2 linked regions of the Lepisosteus oculatus genome follow. The protein of the gene in region 1 purifies or fractionates together with the protein of each later gene. This does not show direct contact. Links are inferred from orthologs where the notes say so. Each region holds a gene or a part of one and is shown in the gene's direction. Other genes may lie near its edges.

Region 1 (7,611 bases):
TTAACGAGCCAGTGTGCCCCTGAACATCGCAGGTACTGATTAACACCCTCCTTAACGAGCCAGCGTTACCCTGAACATCGCAGGTACTGATTAACACCCTCCTTAACGAGCCAGCATGACCCTGAACATCGCAGGTACTGATTAACACCCTCCTTAACGAGCCAGTGTGCCCCTGAACATCGCAGGTACCGATTAACACCCTCCTTAACGAGCCAGCATGACCCTGAACATCGCAGGTACCGATTAACACCCTCCTTAACGAGCCAGTGTGACCCTGAACATCGCAGGTACTGATTAACACCCTCCTTAACGAGCCAGTGTGACCCTGAACATCGCAGGTACCGATTAACACCCTCCTTAACGAGCCAGTGTGACCCTGAGCATCGCAGGTACCGATTAACACCCTCCTTAACGAGCCAGTGTGCCCCTGAGCATCGCAGGTACCGATTAACACCCTCCTTAACGAGCCAGTGTGCCCCTGAGCATCGCAGGTACTGATTAACACCCTCCTTAACGAGCCAGTGTGACCCTGAGCATCGCAGGTACCGATTAATACCCTCCTTAATGAGCCAGTGTGCCCCTGAACATCGCAGGTACCGATTAACACCCTCCTTAACGAGCCAGCATGACCCTGAACATCGCAGGTACCGATTAACACCCTCCTTAACGAGCCAGTGTGCCCCTGAACATCGCAGGTACCGATTAATACCCTCCTTAATGAGCCAGTGTGCCCCTGAACATCGCAGGTACCGATTAACACCCTCCTTAACGAGCCAGCATGACCCTGAACATCGCAGGTACCGATTAACACCCTTCTTAACGAGCCAGCATGACCCTGAACATCGCAGGTACCGATTAACACCCTCCTTAATGAGCCAGTGCGACCCTGAATGTCCTTGTTCCTGCTGTGGTTAACTGCCCACTCTGTGAGCGAGTCACACTCTCACAGCGCCCCCTGCCTGTCGGTGTGAGTCAGTGAGTGAGTGTTGGGGTGCGAGAGGCCCTCACGGCGCCCCCTGCCTGTCGGTGTGAATCAGTGAGTCAGTGTTGGGGTGCGAGAGGCCCTCACAGCGCCCCCTGCCTGTCGGTGTGAGTCAGTGAGTGAGTGTTGGGGTGCGAGAGGCCCTCACGGCGCCCCCTGCCTGTCGGTGTGAATCAGTGAGTCAGTGTTGGGGTGCGAGAGGCCCTCACAGCGCCCCCTGCCTGTCAGTGTGAGTCAGTGAGTCAGTGAGTGAGTGTTGGGGTGCGAGAGGCCCTCACAGCGCCCCCTGCCTGTCTCCGCAGGTGTCGGCGGCCCCACAGTGGAGGACTCCATGGCCATGGTGGCTGTGGCCCTGCTGCTGTACGGCCTCATCAAGATCGTCAGCTGGACCCTGAAGACCACAGGTCTTTATCGGCTCGTTATCCATCGCCTTGTCATTCCCAGTGTGTGTGACCTCATTCACACTGTCCCAGTGTGTGTGTGTGACCTCATTCACACTGTCCCAGTGTGTGTGACTTCATTCACACTGTCCCAGTATGAGTGTGTGTGACCTCATTCACACTGCCCCAGTGTGTGTGTGTGACCTCATTCACACTGTCCCAGTGTGTGTTTGTGACATCATTCACACTGTCCCAGTGTGAGTGTGTGACCTCATTCACACTGTCCCAGTATGAGTGTGTGTGACCTCATTAACACTGTCCCAGTGTGTGTGTGTGACCTCATTCACACTGTCCCAGTATGAGTGTGTGTGAACTCATTCACACTGTCCCAGTGTGTGTGTGACCTCATTCACACTGTCCCAGTATGAGTGTGTGTGACCTCATTCACACTGTCCCAGTGTGTGTGACCTCATTAACACTGTCCCAGTGTGTGTGACCTCATTAACACTGTCCCAGTGTGTGTGTGTGACCTCATTCACACTGCCCCAGTGTGTGTGTGGGTGACCTCATTAACACTTTCCCAGTATGAGTGTGTGTGACATCATTAACACTGTCCCAGTGCGTGTGACCTCATTCACACTGTCCCAGTGTGTGTGACATCATTCACACTGTCCCAGTATGAGTGTGTGTGACCTCATTAACACTGTCCCAGTGTGTGTGACCTCATTCACACTGTCCCAGTATGAGTGTGTGTGACATCATTAATACTGTCCCAGTGTGTGTGTGATGTCAGAGGTGTCTGGGCAGCGGTGAGCCTCAGGGCAGCCCTGTGTCTCTGCTGGTGCTGACTGTGTGTCTGTCTGTCTGTCCACAGACTCCAGTGTCCCAGAGGAGCCGGAGAAGGTAAGACTGACTCTCACACGCTCGCTCACTCCCTCTCTCACTCTCCTCTCACCCCTCTGTCTCACCCCTCTCTCTCACTCCCTCTCTCCTCTCACCCCTCTGTCTCACCCCTCTTTCTCACTCCCTCTCTCCTCCCACCTCTCTGTCTCACCCCTCTCTCTCACTCTCCTCTCACCTCTCTGTCCCACCCCCTCTCTCACCCTCTCACTCCTGTCCAGCCTCAGTGTCTCCTCACCTCTGTCTCACTCTCTCTCAGAAGCAGGAGTGATCGCAGGCGGACAGACTCCTCTCTCCAGGTGAGTGAGTCACACACACACTCACACTGCCTTAAAACACACACTCACACTGCCTTACAACACACACACTCCTCACACACACACTCACACTGCCTTAAAACACACACAGTCCTCACACACACACTCACACTGCTTTAAAACACACACACTCCTCACACACACACTCACACTGCCTTACAACACACACACTCCTCACACAAACACTCACACTGCCTTAAAACACACACTCCTCACACTGCCTTAAAACACACACTCCTCACACATACACACTGCTTTAAAACACACACACTCCTCACACATACACACTGCTTTAAAACACACACACTCCTCACACATACACTCACACTGCTTTAAAACACACACACTCCTCACACTGCCTTAAAACACACACACTCCTCACACATACACACTGCTTTAAAACACACACACTCCTCACACACACACTCACACTGCTTTAAAACACACACACTCCTCACACTGCCTTAAAACACACACACTCCTCACACATACACACTGCTTTAAAACACACACACTCCTCACACACACACTGCCTTAAAACACACACACTCCTCGCACACCTCCTGATCACACGAGCAGAGCCGTCGTCACCATCGTCATCGTCACCCCACGGCTGGCCCGGTGTCCTCTCACCTGCCCCGCCTCTCTCGGTCTCTCTCCTCCCAGACCTTCCAGAGGAGAACGCCAGGCTGGTCTCACTCTCCGGGGAGAGTGTGTCTCACACTGACTGGAGTGCGTCTACAGAGTGTGAGAGAGTGAGAGAGTGTCTACAGAGTGTGAGAGAGTGAGAGTGTATAGTGTGAGAGAGTGTCTACAGAGTGTGAGAGAGTGAGAGTGTATAGTGTGAGAGAGTGTCTACATTGTGTGAGAGAGTGAGAGTGTATAGTGTGAGAGAGTGAGAGAGTGTACAGTGTGTGTGAGAGTGTATAGTGTGAGAGAGTGAGAGAGTGTACAGTGTGTGTGAGAGAGTGAATCGTTTTGTTTCAGTATGACAGTATATGCAGAACGGACTGTTCCATTTCTTGTGTGCGCGGGGGGGAGCTGTACTGTGACAGCAGGCAGGGATGTTCCTGAAAACAATCGCTGTATCTCTCCAGCCTCTCAACATGCGCTCTAGACAGTCAAGGCAAGAGCACAGTTTCACGCTGAGAAACGCCCCTCACCCATACCGCTCCGGTGTTGCACTAGACTGTGAACATCCCTCCTGCTCTGGCGGTCGTGGGCAGGTCCGCCAGCGCGCCTCAGCTCAGCTCAGCTCAGCTCAGCTCAGCTCCGGCCTGCGTCGGTGGTGATCTCCGGCCTGCAGCTGTCGCCTCCGATCGAGACCGTGCGTCACCAGGGGGGGACTGTTTTCGAGGGGAACTGTAGTTCCCGGCAGCCGGTTGTCGGGGGGACAGGGCTGAGGTGACGCGCGCGCTCTCTCTCTCTCTCATCAGAGGTCCAGTGTAATTAACCCTTCCTGCTGTGTCCTTGGCTTCGCAATGTCACGGGATTTTGGTTTTGCTTGCCGAGCGAGTGGTCTAATAAAGGTTTTATTCTTTGATCCGAGTCCCGCGCCCTCTGTCTGTGCAGTTTGGAGTCCCCTTCACAGTGGCTGTTGCTGCTGTACTGGCGCCAGCCGAGCCCAGGTCAATTACACGGGCCTGAGGGACCGACAGGCGTCAAGCGGCCTGCCTGGTTTGGGCCGCCGGGCTCGATTCTGGAACGGGAGACCTTCCCTGTGGAGTCTGCGCGTTCCCCTCGGAGGGTCCCTGACTCACTGGACACGCTGAGTGGGTAAACCTGGTGTCTCCGAACTCGTGCCTGGAATTCAGGAAGATTGAAAAACGGGAACAGATTTAAAAATAAAAAAAATAATTTTAAGATCCACCACGGACCTGAAATCAGACAACTCCTTAAGCTGTACGGCAAAGGGAGCCGCCATGTCCGGTTACGGCACGACGTGACCTCTGACCCGTTCCGGCGACGTTGCTCCTGCGCCGTCATCCTTTGTGCCTCCAGCCTCCGCCTCCCCCCCTCCTGCCCACCAATCAGCGGCGGCGTTACTGCGGCGCGGCCAATGGCATCGCGCCGTGCTGCGGGGCGGCGGAGTTCAGAGGCCGGAGACGAAGCGGGTAAGTAGTTTTCCTGGGAGTCCGGGTGGCTCTGTTTTTATTTTTTATTCTTTATTCTGCCGCGCCCCCCGCCTCCTGCCCCCCCTCCCCCCCCGGGTCTCGCCGCGGCTCGGTTCGGAGAGGAGACGGGAGACGGCGCAGGGGGCGGCCGCTCTGGGTCTCTGCTTTTATAAAATAATAAAACTGAAACTGAGACCCGTGAGCGAGCGAGCGAGCGAGAGAGAGGTGTGTTGGGGAAGCGAAGCTCGGGCGTCGGTCTGGTGACCCCGGGTGGGACAGTCCCAGCCCGGTTCTGGCCCGGGGGTCCCCGCCAGGCGCCGATCCATCCCCCGGTCCCGGCCCGGTCCTGCCCGCTCGCCTGTCTCGGGAGTAGCTGGGCCCTCTGCCGGTCCCGGTTCTGCTCCACTGCGCTCCAGGCTGGGGGAGGGTGGTGGGTGCGGATGACAGGCGGAACCGGGCCGCTGCCGGAACAGGACTGAGTCCTGGGGTGTCTCTGGGGTCCCCTGTGTGTGATCTCCCTGTTGGGGGTACACTGTCAGGACCGGACTGCTGCTCCTGGTCCAGGAGAGAGGAGGGCAGATCGGAGGGTGTGATTCTGGGGTGTCTCTGGGGTCCCCTGTGTGTGTTCTCAGTGTCGGGGGGAGAGAGGGGGGTGTGATTCTGGGGTATCTCTGGGGTCCCCTGTGTGTGTTCTCAGTGTCGGGGGGAGACAGGAGGGTGTGATTCTGGGGTCCTCTGTGTGTATTCTCAGTGTCGGGGGGAAAGAGGAGGGTGTGATTCTGGGGTGTCTCTGGGGTCCCCTGTGTGTGTTCTCAGTATCGGGCGGGGAAGAGAGGAGGGTGTGATTCTGGGGTGTCTCTGGGGTCCCCTGTGTGTGTTCTCAGTATCGGGGTGGGGAAGAGAGTAGGGTGTGATTCTGGGGTGTTTCTGGGGTCCCCTGTGAGTGTTTTCAGTGTCAGGGGGGAAGAGAGGAGGGTGTGATTCTGGGGTGTCTCTGGGGTCCCCTGTGTGTGTTCTCAGTGTCAGAGGGGAGACAGGAGGGTGTGATTCTGGGGTGTCTCTGGGGTCCCCTGTGTGTGTTCTCAGTGTTGGGGGGTGAGAGGAGGGTGTGATTCTGGGGTGTCTCTGGGGTCCCCTGTGTGTGTTCTCAGTGTTGGGGAGCGGGGGGCTCAGTTAGTGCCCCCAGTCCGGCGCCGGGCTGTACCAGGAGGGCCGGTTCTGATCTCAGCAGTTACTCAGCTCTCCCAGGCGGGGCTCTGACCCGGGACCTGTCTCCTCCCTCTCTCCAGCCCCCGTCCGGACCGGTCCAGATCGCCATGGCGACGGTGGACAGCATCGTGATCCTGGATGACGACGAGGAGGAAGAGGAGGAAGAGCAGGAGCGGCCTCAGCACCCCGCCCCCTCGCCGCCCCTCGAACCCGGGCCCTCCCACATCACGCACTCGCCCTTCGACGCCCGAGAGAGAGGCAGCAACACCACACGGCTGGAGAACAACCAGCTTTTCTCTGAGGTCAGAGACTGTCCACCTCCCCTCCCTCTCTCAGTGCAGAGTGTCCAGTCAGTGTGTCTGTATGAACCCCTCTCTCAGTGCAGTGTTCATGTACTGGAGTGTCCAGTCAGTGTGTCTGTATGAACCCCTCTCTCTCTCAGTGCAGTGTTCATGTACTGGAGTGTCCAGTCAGTGTGTGTGTATGAACCCCTCTCTCTCAGTGCAGTGTTCATGTACTGGAGTGTCCAGTCAGTGTGTGTGTGTGTGAACCCCTCTCTCTCTCAGTGCAGTGTTCATGTACTGGAGTGTCCAGTCAGTGTGTGTGTATGAACCCCTCTCTCTCTCAGTGCAGTGTTCATGTACTGGAGTGTCCAGTCAGTGTGTCTGTGTGAACCCCTCTCTCTCTCAGTGCAGTGTTCATGTACTGGAGTGTCCAGTCAGTGTGTGTGTATGAACCCCTCTCTCTCTCAGTGCAGTGTTCATGTACTGGAGTGTCCAGTCAGTGTGTGTGTGTGAACCCCTCTCTCTCTCAGTGCAGTGTTAATGTACTGGAGTGTCCAGTCAGTGTGTGTGTGAACCCCTCTCTCTCTCAGTGCAGTGTTCATGTACTGGAGTGTCCAGTCAGTGTGTCTGTATGAACCCCTCTCTCTCTCAGTGCAGTGTTCATGTACTGGAGTGTCCAGTCAGTGTGTCTGTATGAACCCCTCTCTCTCTCTCTCAGTTTGTAGAGTACTGCTCCAGTCTGACCCGAGACAACCCGGAAGTGATCCCCTACCTGTTGTCCAAGCACTCCAAGGCCAGCCCGGACTTCCTGGGCTCGGTCGAGTTCCGGAACCGGCTGGGCCGCTGCCTGACCCGGGTCCAGAGCAAGCGGGCCAAGACCTACGTGTACATCAACGAGCTGTGCACCGTCCTGAAGCAGCACAGCGCCTCCCGCAGGCGCCCGGCCCTGCTGCGGCCCGCGCAGACGCCCGCGCAGACGCCCGCCGCGCCGGGCGCCGAGGAGCGCGCAGAGGGAGCGCCGCTGGAGCAGCAGGAGCCCCCTGGGCAGCCGGCTCGGCCCAGGGCTTCCAGGAGACAGGTGAGCGCAGAGAGAGGGAGACAGGTGAGCTCAGAGAGGGGGAGACAGGTGAGCTCTGAGAGAGAGACAGGTGAGCGCAGGGAGAGAGGGAGACAGGTGAGCGCCCTAACCCCTAACCCTAGAGGGGGAGACAGGTGAGCGCAGGGAGAGAGAGAGACAGGTGAGCGCCGAGAGAGGGAGACAGGTGAGCGCAGAGAGGGGGAGACAGGTGAGCTCTGAGAGAGAGACAGGTGAGCGCAGGGAGAGAGGGGGACAGGTGAGCGCAGGGAGAGAGGGAGACAGTTGAGCGCAGAGAGGGGAGAGGGAGACAGGTGAGCTCCGAGAGAGAGAGAGAGGGGAGAGGGAGT
Region 2 (6,855 bases), on another chromosome or scaffold:
TATTTTAGTGCAACTGATCACAAAGCACACACGTTCCTGTTGGCTGGAAGACTGGGTGGTTTTAGTACATCTTGTTTGAAAGCGCAGTTACAAATTCCTTCCATCATTGGTACTCCAGCTGTCTTCTTCAGAATGTGTCGAGAAACATTTAATATCGCAATGCTTCTCCATTGTTCGGTGTTAAAGCTCCGAGTTGTGGACATTGTTTTAAATAACTGAAAGTCGCCTAAGCTAAGGCTTAGCAAGGTAAGTGAAAACGCTGTCCGTAGCATAGCAAAAAAAGCATTATTACCAGTTTACGACTATGAAACGGTTTTTGACATAAGCCTGCATAATACGTGCCATGTTAGGAAACTGTAAAGCCTATATAGCCTGTGTCCTGCTTACTAGGATGAAGTTTAGTTACGACGTTCACCTTCTGTATCTTGCTTTTCTATTAGTTTGGTATCTGTTGCTCTTACACTGTAAACATTCTCTTCACGGACCACTGCTGACTTGAGGGATGCAAATATCCTGTCGTTGTTTCGCTTGCGCTCTTAAAATGTAGCAGAGAAAACTGCCGTCATCGCATTAAATTCAGCGATACTTGTGTCTAAATCGAGCCGGATCTCTGATACCTACAAAAGCAGGTTAGCCGTGTCTTTCGGTCAGAGTTTATCCGTCAAAAAGAATAAATACGGGGGAAATGTAAGGCGTCCGGATTTACAAGTTCTAAAGAGAACCTTAAATCCACACTATCTACAGACGGTTCACCATTAATTGTTGACAACAATTAAGCCATCAAGTCACACAATTAAGTCATCAACGAGGTAAGAGTTACAAAGGAAAGAAGGCCATTTGATTAATGTTTTTGTTTTGTTGGTGGTAGATAATTGCTCCCAGAATCTTATCCAGTGGCATACCAGTCTCGGAGGGGGTTTTCCAGTGCACAGTAGTGCAAAGTGATTTCCTTCTTCTATCTAGAACATTTGCTAACATCCTGTCCTGTATTACCTGTGAGTATCTAGATTCATAAATAGAGGGTTGTGGTGTTCAAATCCCAGGCGTGATACTTCTGTTGTACCCTCGAACAAAGTACTGGAATTGCTCCGGTGAACTACTCTGCTGCTTAAATGAGTGCAAACATAAGTCGTTTTGAATCAACGTGTCAGCCAAATAAATTGGCAATTAAACGGGTATCTGTAACAAGTCTGCAGACTGTCCTGGAGTGAGATGAAGGGCACTGACTCCTTTGAAGAGCCCAAGTCCTAGGTGGAGCTTTCAGTCAGTGAGTACCGCTTACCTGTGCACAGGTGCCCCACCTCGGTCATTCAGACTCAGAACTGCGCTGTGATGTCCAGGACCAGGGTGTCTAGTTCAGGAGTGACCAGTCCTGGACCTGGAGGACTCCAGAGCAACAGGTTAGAAGTTATCCAGAAATGATTCTTTCCCTCAGTTTATTGGTGGGGGGGGTAATTTCGAGATCTGTTGGGATTAAAACCAATTAACCTCTCCAGAAACATTTGTCCTCCAGAACAAATGCTGCTACAAACGGAAGTCTGAGGATACAGCTCATTTTGCTTCTTGAGTTACTGGGAAGCGGGAGGCTTGGAGATCTCTTCCAGGGTTTTCTTAAAAGATCCCGGGGAATCTTTTGAAAATTTGTCCCGTTGGACTGCAGACACCCACGCTCCTTTCGTTACAGAGATGCTGCCCGACTTTGACCCAGATGCAGAATGTTTTCCATTTTCTCTTGTAACTCTGGCACCTGCGTGCCAACTTGTGTGCTGTTTCCATGTTGCTCACCATTTTAAACTCACGCAAAGCCTCCGTTGTTCAACCCTGAAGAGATTTAGCTCCTTGTCTTATGAGACCGTGCTCAGCGTCAGAATTAACCTTGTGACTCTTCTTTGAACGGAATCCAGAGCAGGAGTGTTTTTTTTTGGGAACCTGGTGACCACATTTGTGCATCTTATTCGACGCAAGTAAGTCATAGACGTTATATACAAGTGTATTGTATATCATATATCTTATCACTTTTAATAACTGCTTCTCCAATTCAGGGTTGTGGGGGTGATGGAGCCTATTCTGCAAGCAGCAGGCACAAGCCAGGATACACCCTGGACAGGACACCAGTCCATCTCACGGCACGCACGCTCACACCAGGGACAATTTTCCCAGAAGCCAGTTACCCTGCCAGTATGTCTTTGGACTGTGGGAAGACACCGGAGCACCCAGAGGAAACCCATGCTATCACAGGGGGGAACATGCAAACTCCACACAGACAGTACCCCAGGAAATGAACCCAGGGCTGCAAGGCAGTGGTGCTCATGACTGTGCCACCATGCCACCCTTATATCTGATCTTAATTTTCCATTCAGAAATCTACAATCCCCCCAAACCATTTGTTAGTGATGCTGCTTTTGCTGCATTTGATGTTGTATCAGGTAGGTTTCTCACTTTTCTGCTATGCTTTTCTCAGTATCGTAGTGAATTGTGGAGATGGCAAAGTTCCTGGACTTGGAAGTGTGAAGTGTTCTACTAAATTTAGACTACACTATCCTGAACTATTAGAAATGGGTCTTGCAGACTGGACTGTGGCGTTACTTTAGTACTGGTGTTATTTGTGGTGTCTCCTTAAACTTTCTCCTCAGCCCAGCAGGAGGAGAATTTTCTCACTGCGTCACCTATTCTGCTAGTGCTGATCTCTCAGGTGAGTCTGCTCTCCAGTGGTGGACAAAATGGGTCCCCTCCTATACATTGAGAGAGAAGAGTTTATTTGCGAGATGCACATGTAAATTCTCACAGTTCTCCTGTGACATGCACAGTACAATAGACAAAACCCCACAATCTGCACAGTCCATTACAAAAAAATAATAATGACAGCCACAACTGACTAACATACACAACAACATACTCAACGGTTTTTGCTATCTGATGTATTAATGAGATTTATGCAACTGATGCAATGTTGAGTAGTAAAATCGGTTTGTTGCAGTATCATGGACATGGGGAATGACCTCCAAGATATCAGACTCCAGCCGTGTAGTGGTTGATCAATTTCAGGTGTTGCTGTTGTGCTGATGCAGCTGAAAAGCAGTCTTAATTAAACCAATTTAACTTGTCTTTGCGTAGGGATACAGTGTTTTTACAGTATTTGCAATAGCCTGCACCTTCAAAGATTAAAATAGGCACAAACTGTTGCAACGGCGAGCCGTTTTCTGTTTGGGAGCATTTGCTATTTTTTTTGTGGGGGAAAAACACAACTATAATTAAACGATACGATGTGCTACGCGAATGTATCATCTTTACAGCGTAATACGCACATTGGTAGACTTTTCACAAATATGACTATAAAGACGTTGCGTGTATCATCCGACAAGGTTATTGAAAAGTGAGTTTATTTTTGTCGGTTTGCTAGAGACCATTTGGATTAGCATGGGAAAATAAATTTTTTTGGACATATAATAATAATTGCTTACACTTATATAGCGCTTTTCTGGACACTCCACTCAAAGCGCTTTACAGGTAATGGGGACTCCCCTCCACCACCATCAATGTGCAGAAAATTAACAGAGTGATCTGAGCATTTACTGGAAATGCTCAGATCACATACTTTGGCCGCTTGATCAGAGTCTGTACAACGCATTCCTAGAAACAATTCAATGAGAACACCCCCTTTCGAAGCGTTTCACACACGCTACACGTCCGTAACACCCGTCTAAACAACCCTTTTCAATTCGAGACATTCGGGTATTTCCGCCCCTAGAGGCATCTTCGTCAGTTTCCGTGTGACGCACGGCAGAGCCGTGCGTAGGGCGTGATTGCGCGGCCCCTCCCCCTCGCGGTCTATCTGGAAAAAAAACTTTTTGTATCGAAGGAATCAACAGCCGCCATCTTGTCGCGGCTCGGAGTCAGGATTTCGGGAGAGCATTATTTTTTATTGAGAACCGGAACATCCGAACCGAGGCCAAACGGGTTTCTTCTGCCGAAAACGAAAAGCTTAGACGCCTTCGAAGACATTTCGTGAGAAAAAACGGAGATTGGGTCGGTTTTCATCGGCCAGAAAACCCCCCATATATCTGATTTCCCCTTCAGAAAGCGCCGCTTCGCTCCGTATCTTGGTTCGCAGCCGTATTGTTTACCGGGAGCAGCCGGCGGACAGACAGCGGGGAAGGGGCGAAATAGCGCCGTGAAATATTTTTTTTTTGCACCGGCGCATTTTTTTCGCCGGCAGAAGGGGGTTTTTAGGCAATTAAATTGACGTCAGAAAAAAGGGGGTATTTAAAGATGCGAATTTAGCGCACTCCGCAGGCACGAAAACGACCAAAAAATCCATCGGGGAGATCGTATTTAATTTTTTGTGCCCTTTGTTCCTTCGAAAAAAATATTTTTCATCGGAGGTAATTATTATTGATAATAATGTGGGTGTTGGGTGTTGGATTATCATGGGGTGAATGGTTTTGGCGAAGCGGGGCGCTGTAGCTACTTTTTTGAGAATTTCGCCTTGATTATTTCGCTCCTGCAAACGGAGAGTAGAGAGGAGGCGAGCGTGGAGGGGTTGCTCTCTTTTTGGTTTTGATTTTTTTCTCGGGGGGTGGGGATTATTATTATTATTTTTTGGGGGGCCACCGATCCCTCCCCCCCCCCTATTTAGAAAAAAAAATAACCCAATCACATCTAACGATCCGAGTCGATCGCCATGGCCGAGAACCTGCTTGACGTCGGACCTCCCAACCCGAAGCGGCCGAAGCTGAATTCACCTGCCCTGTCCGCCTCCGACGGTCCAGGTAAGGCCCGACTGCCCCCCGGCTCCCCGGCGTGACAGTGTCACCGCCGGCGTGTGCGACACGGCTCCGTGCGCACCTTTGCATCGCAATACTTTCCTTCTGGAGTGTGTGCGTGTGCGTATCGCCTTTGGGTGGTGGTGCTGGTGTCTCTTCTGAACTGGGGCTCGATCGGGAGCACCCCGGCTGTGCCTCTTGCTGGGCGCTGCGCGCAATCGGCTCCCCGCTCTTGTGGTGCCAAGGCTGGGCGGCAGAGGCGTGGAAACGGGGAAGGTGTGCGTTTTGCCCGTGTGCTGGGTCTCCGCCGTGTGCATGGCCCGGCTGCAGGGGACAGTGTTTGGTGGGTGGTGGCGGTGTGCCTTTCGGCGTTATGAGATTTTTTTCCCCTATGCCAAAAAATGAGCATGCCCCCCCCCACCACCACCACCACCACCTACACCGTCTCCTCTACCGACCCTCTGATGCCCCGCTTCGTGTCGGTTGGTGGTCGGCTGCAAAACAGACTCTTTGACGTCGCGATTTGAGGTGCCGATGTCAGATGCGTTTTTTGTTTGTTTGTTGTGCGGTTGAATGTGGTGGTCGTAGCCAGGTTTTGATCGAGAAAAGTCCCCGTGGTGGTGGCGTTTGTTGTCGACTCTGCACGGCAGCGAGATGTGGTGCCGTGCGTCAAAATTCATACTCCCCCCCACCCCCCTACAAAAAATATTGAAGTGACCGCGGGGACTCGCTGGACAGCTCCCTGTCCTTTCATGTTGGGCAAGATCGTGGCCTTTCGTAGGAGACCTGGGTGCAGCCGTGCCGTTGACAGCGGACCACCTGGGCAGCGCCAGCAGCCTGCGCTTCACAAGCCGAGGATGGACATGCAAGAGCATGACAAGAGCGACGTCTTGTATTGCTCTTCCCCCTCTCGGTATCCGAAACGATCCACCCCCCTGCCCCGGTGCCGAAGCGGCGGCCGGGCCCCCTGGCGCTGGGTCCCGGGTCCTGGCCGGAGCCGGAGTTTGTTGCCCGGGAGGCGGTGTTTCATTGCAAGGCGAAGCGGCTATGACACCGGCAGGGAGAAGCGTGCATCGGGTGTAGCGCTGGAGGGGAGGGCTTGCGCCTGTCAGTCAGCGGCTGAGCCACTGATCGATCTGATTGACACGGCTGGTTTGAGAAACGGTGGTGGTGGACGGGACTCCGGGCTGGGTCGCACCCGGTTGGTTGGTCGGTCGTCGGAGTCTGTCCCGCGTGTGGTTTGTGGATCCTCCACCCTGCCCGTCCCTCCACCCCTCCTCCCGATCTGATCGCCAAAACACTGTTTAATTCGGGGATCCCCTCAGTTCTGCTTTCTGAAAACGAAACGGTTTGGTCTGTGTCCTGTAAGCCGAGGGGGGCGTGACGCCGTGCGCTCTTGGCCGGAGACAGGAGCTCCGCTGGCGCTCCTGGCGTGCCCCTGCAGGCTGTGTGGAGGGAGATCTCTCGGCCTGGGAGGGTGGAAACTCTCGTATGTTAGCTTTCCACAAGTGTGCAGACCCTCGCTGTGCTGTCGGACAACCGGTGCGCCATCCCAACCGGTCACGACGGGCAACAGTGCCGGGGAAAGTCACGCCGGTACGGTGCTGGCATCTCGATTGCGCGTAAGCTGACGTGGGCGTGGAGGCAGGAGAGCGCTGTAATTTGAAAGCTGCTGTGATTGGTCGGATCGGAATCATTAAAAGTGAACTTTAACAGCTTGTGCTTGGACTATAGCCGTCCATTGTCTACCTAATTAAGGGGGCATTTGACGGATTTAAAGCCCAGCGCCTGCTGTCAGTCTGGGTTTAGGAGAGCGACACTTGCACGTTTTTCCACGGCTTAAGGTCTGATTCAGTTATATTCATTGAGCGGTCATGCCAGAAGAGTGAACTAAGTTCCCATTTGCGTTAATTGTGTTTTCTATCCAGCAAAGAGAGGCTTTTCTGGGTTTTAAACATTACCTTGTGCCAGCAAGTGCGTTGTTAAAACGTGTATTGGTCTATTTAAAATACACTTTCACTGTATCTGGACCCTTTTCAACTTTAGAATAACAGAAATATCCCTACCCTCCGTTTTACTGTTCCACCAAGGT

What was found.
Region 2: the proteins of daxx (region 1) and crebbpa purify together in Homo sapiens (affinity purification with western blotting; 3 studies listed by BioGRID and IntAct, with this or other methods). This does not show direct contact. The link is inferred for Lepisosteus oculatus from reciprocal best matches to the Homo sapiens genes DAXX and CREBBP.

What each region holds. Positions count from the first base shown.
Region 1 is NC_090709.1:38,547,114-38,554,724, reverse strand, and holds the start of daxx (death domain-associated protein 6), read left to right. Parts: upstream 1-4,607; 5' UTR 4,608-4,693; intron 4,694-4,804; exon of another isoform or gene 4,805-4,850; intron 4,851-5,124; exon of another isoform or gene 5,125-5,129; intron 5,130-5,982; 5' UTR 5,983-6,009; coding exon 6,010-6,204; intron 6,205-6,904; coding exon 6,905-7,264; intron 7,265-7,611. UniProt on the Homo sapiens protein: Transcription corepressor known to repress transcriptional potential of several sumoylated transcription factors. Down-regulates basal and activated transcription.
Region 2 is NC_090714.1:3,324,974-3,331,828, reverse strand, and holds the start of crebbpa (CREB-binding protein), read left to right. Parts: upstream 1-3,846; 5' UTR 3,847-4,681; coding exon 4,682-4,769; intron 4,770-6,855. UniProt on the Homo sapiens protein: Acetylates histones, giving a specific tag for transcriptional activation. Mediates acetylation of histone H3 at 'Lys-18' and 'Lys-27' (H3K18ac and H3K27ac, respectively).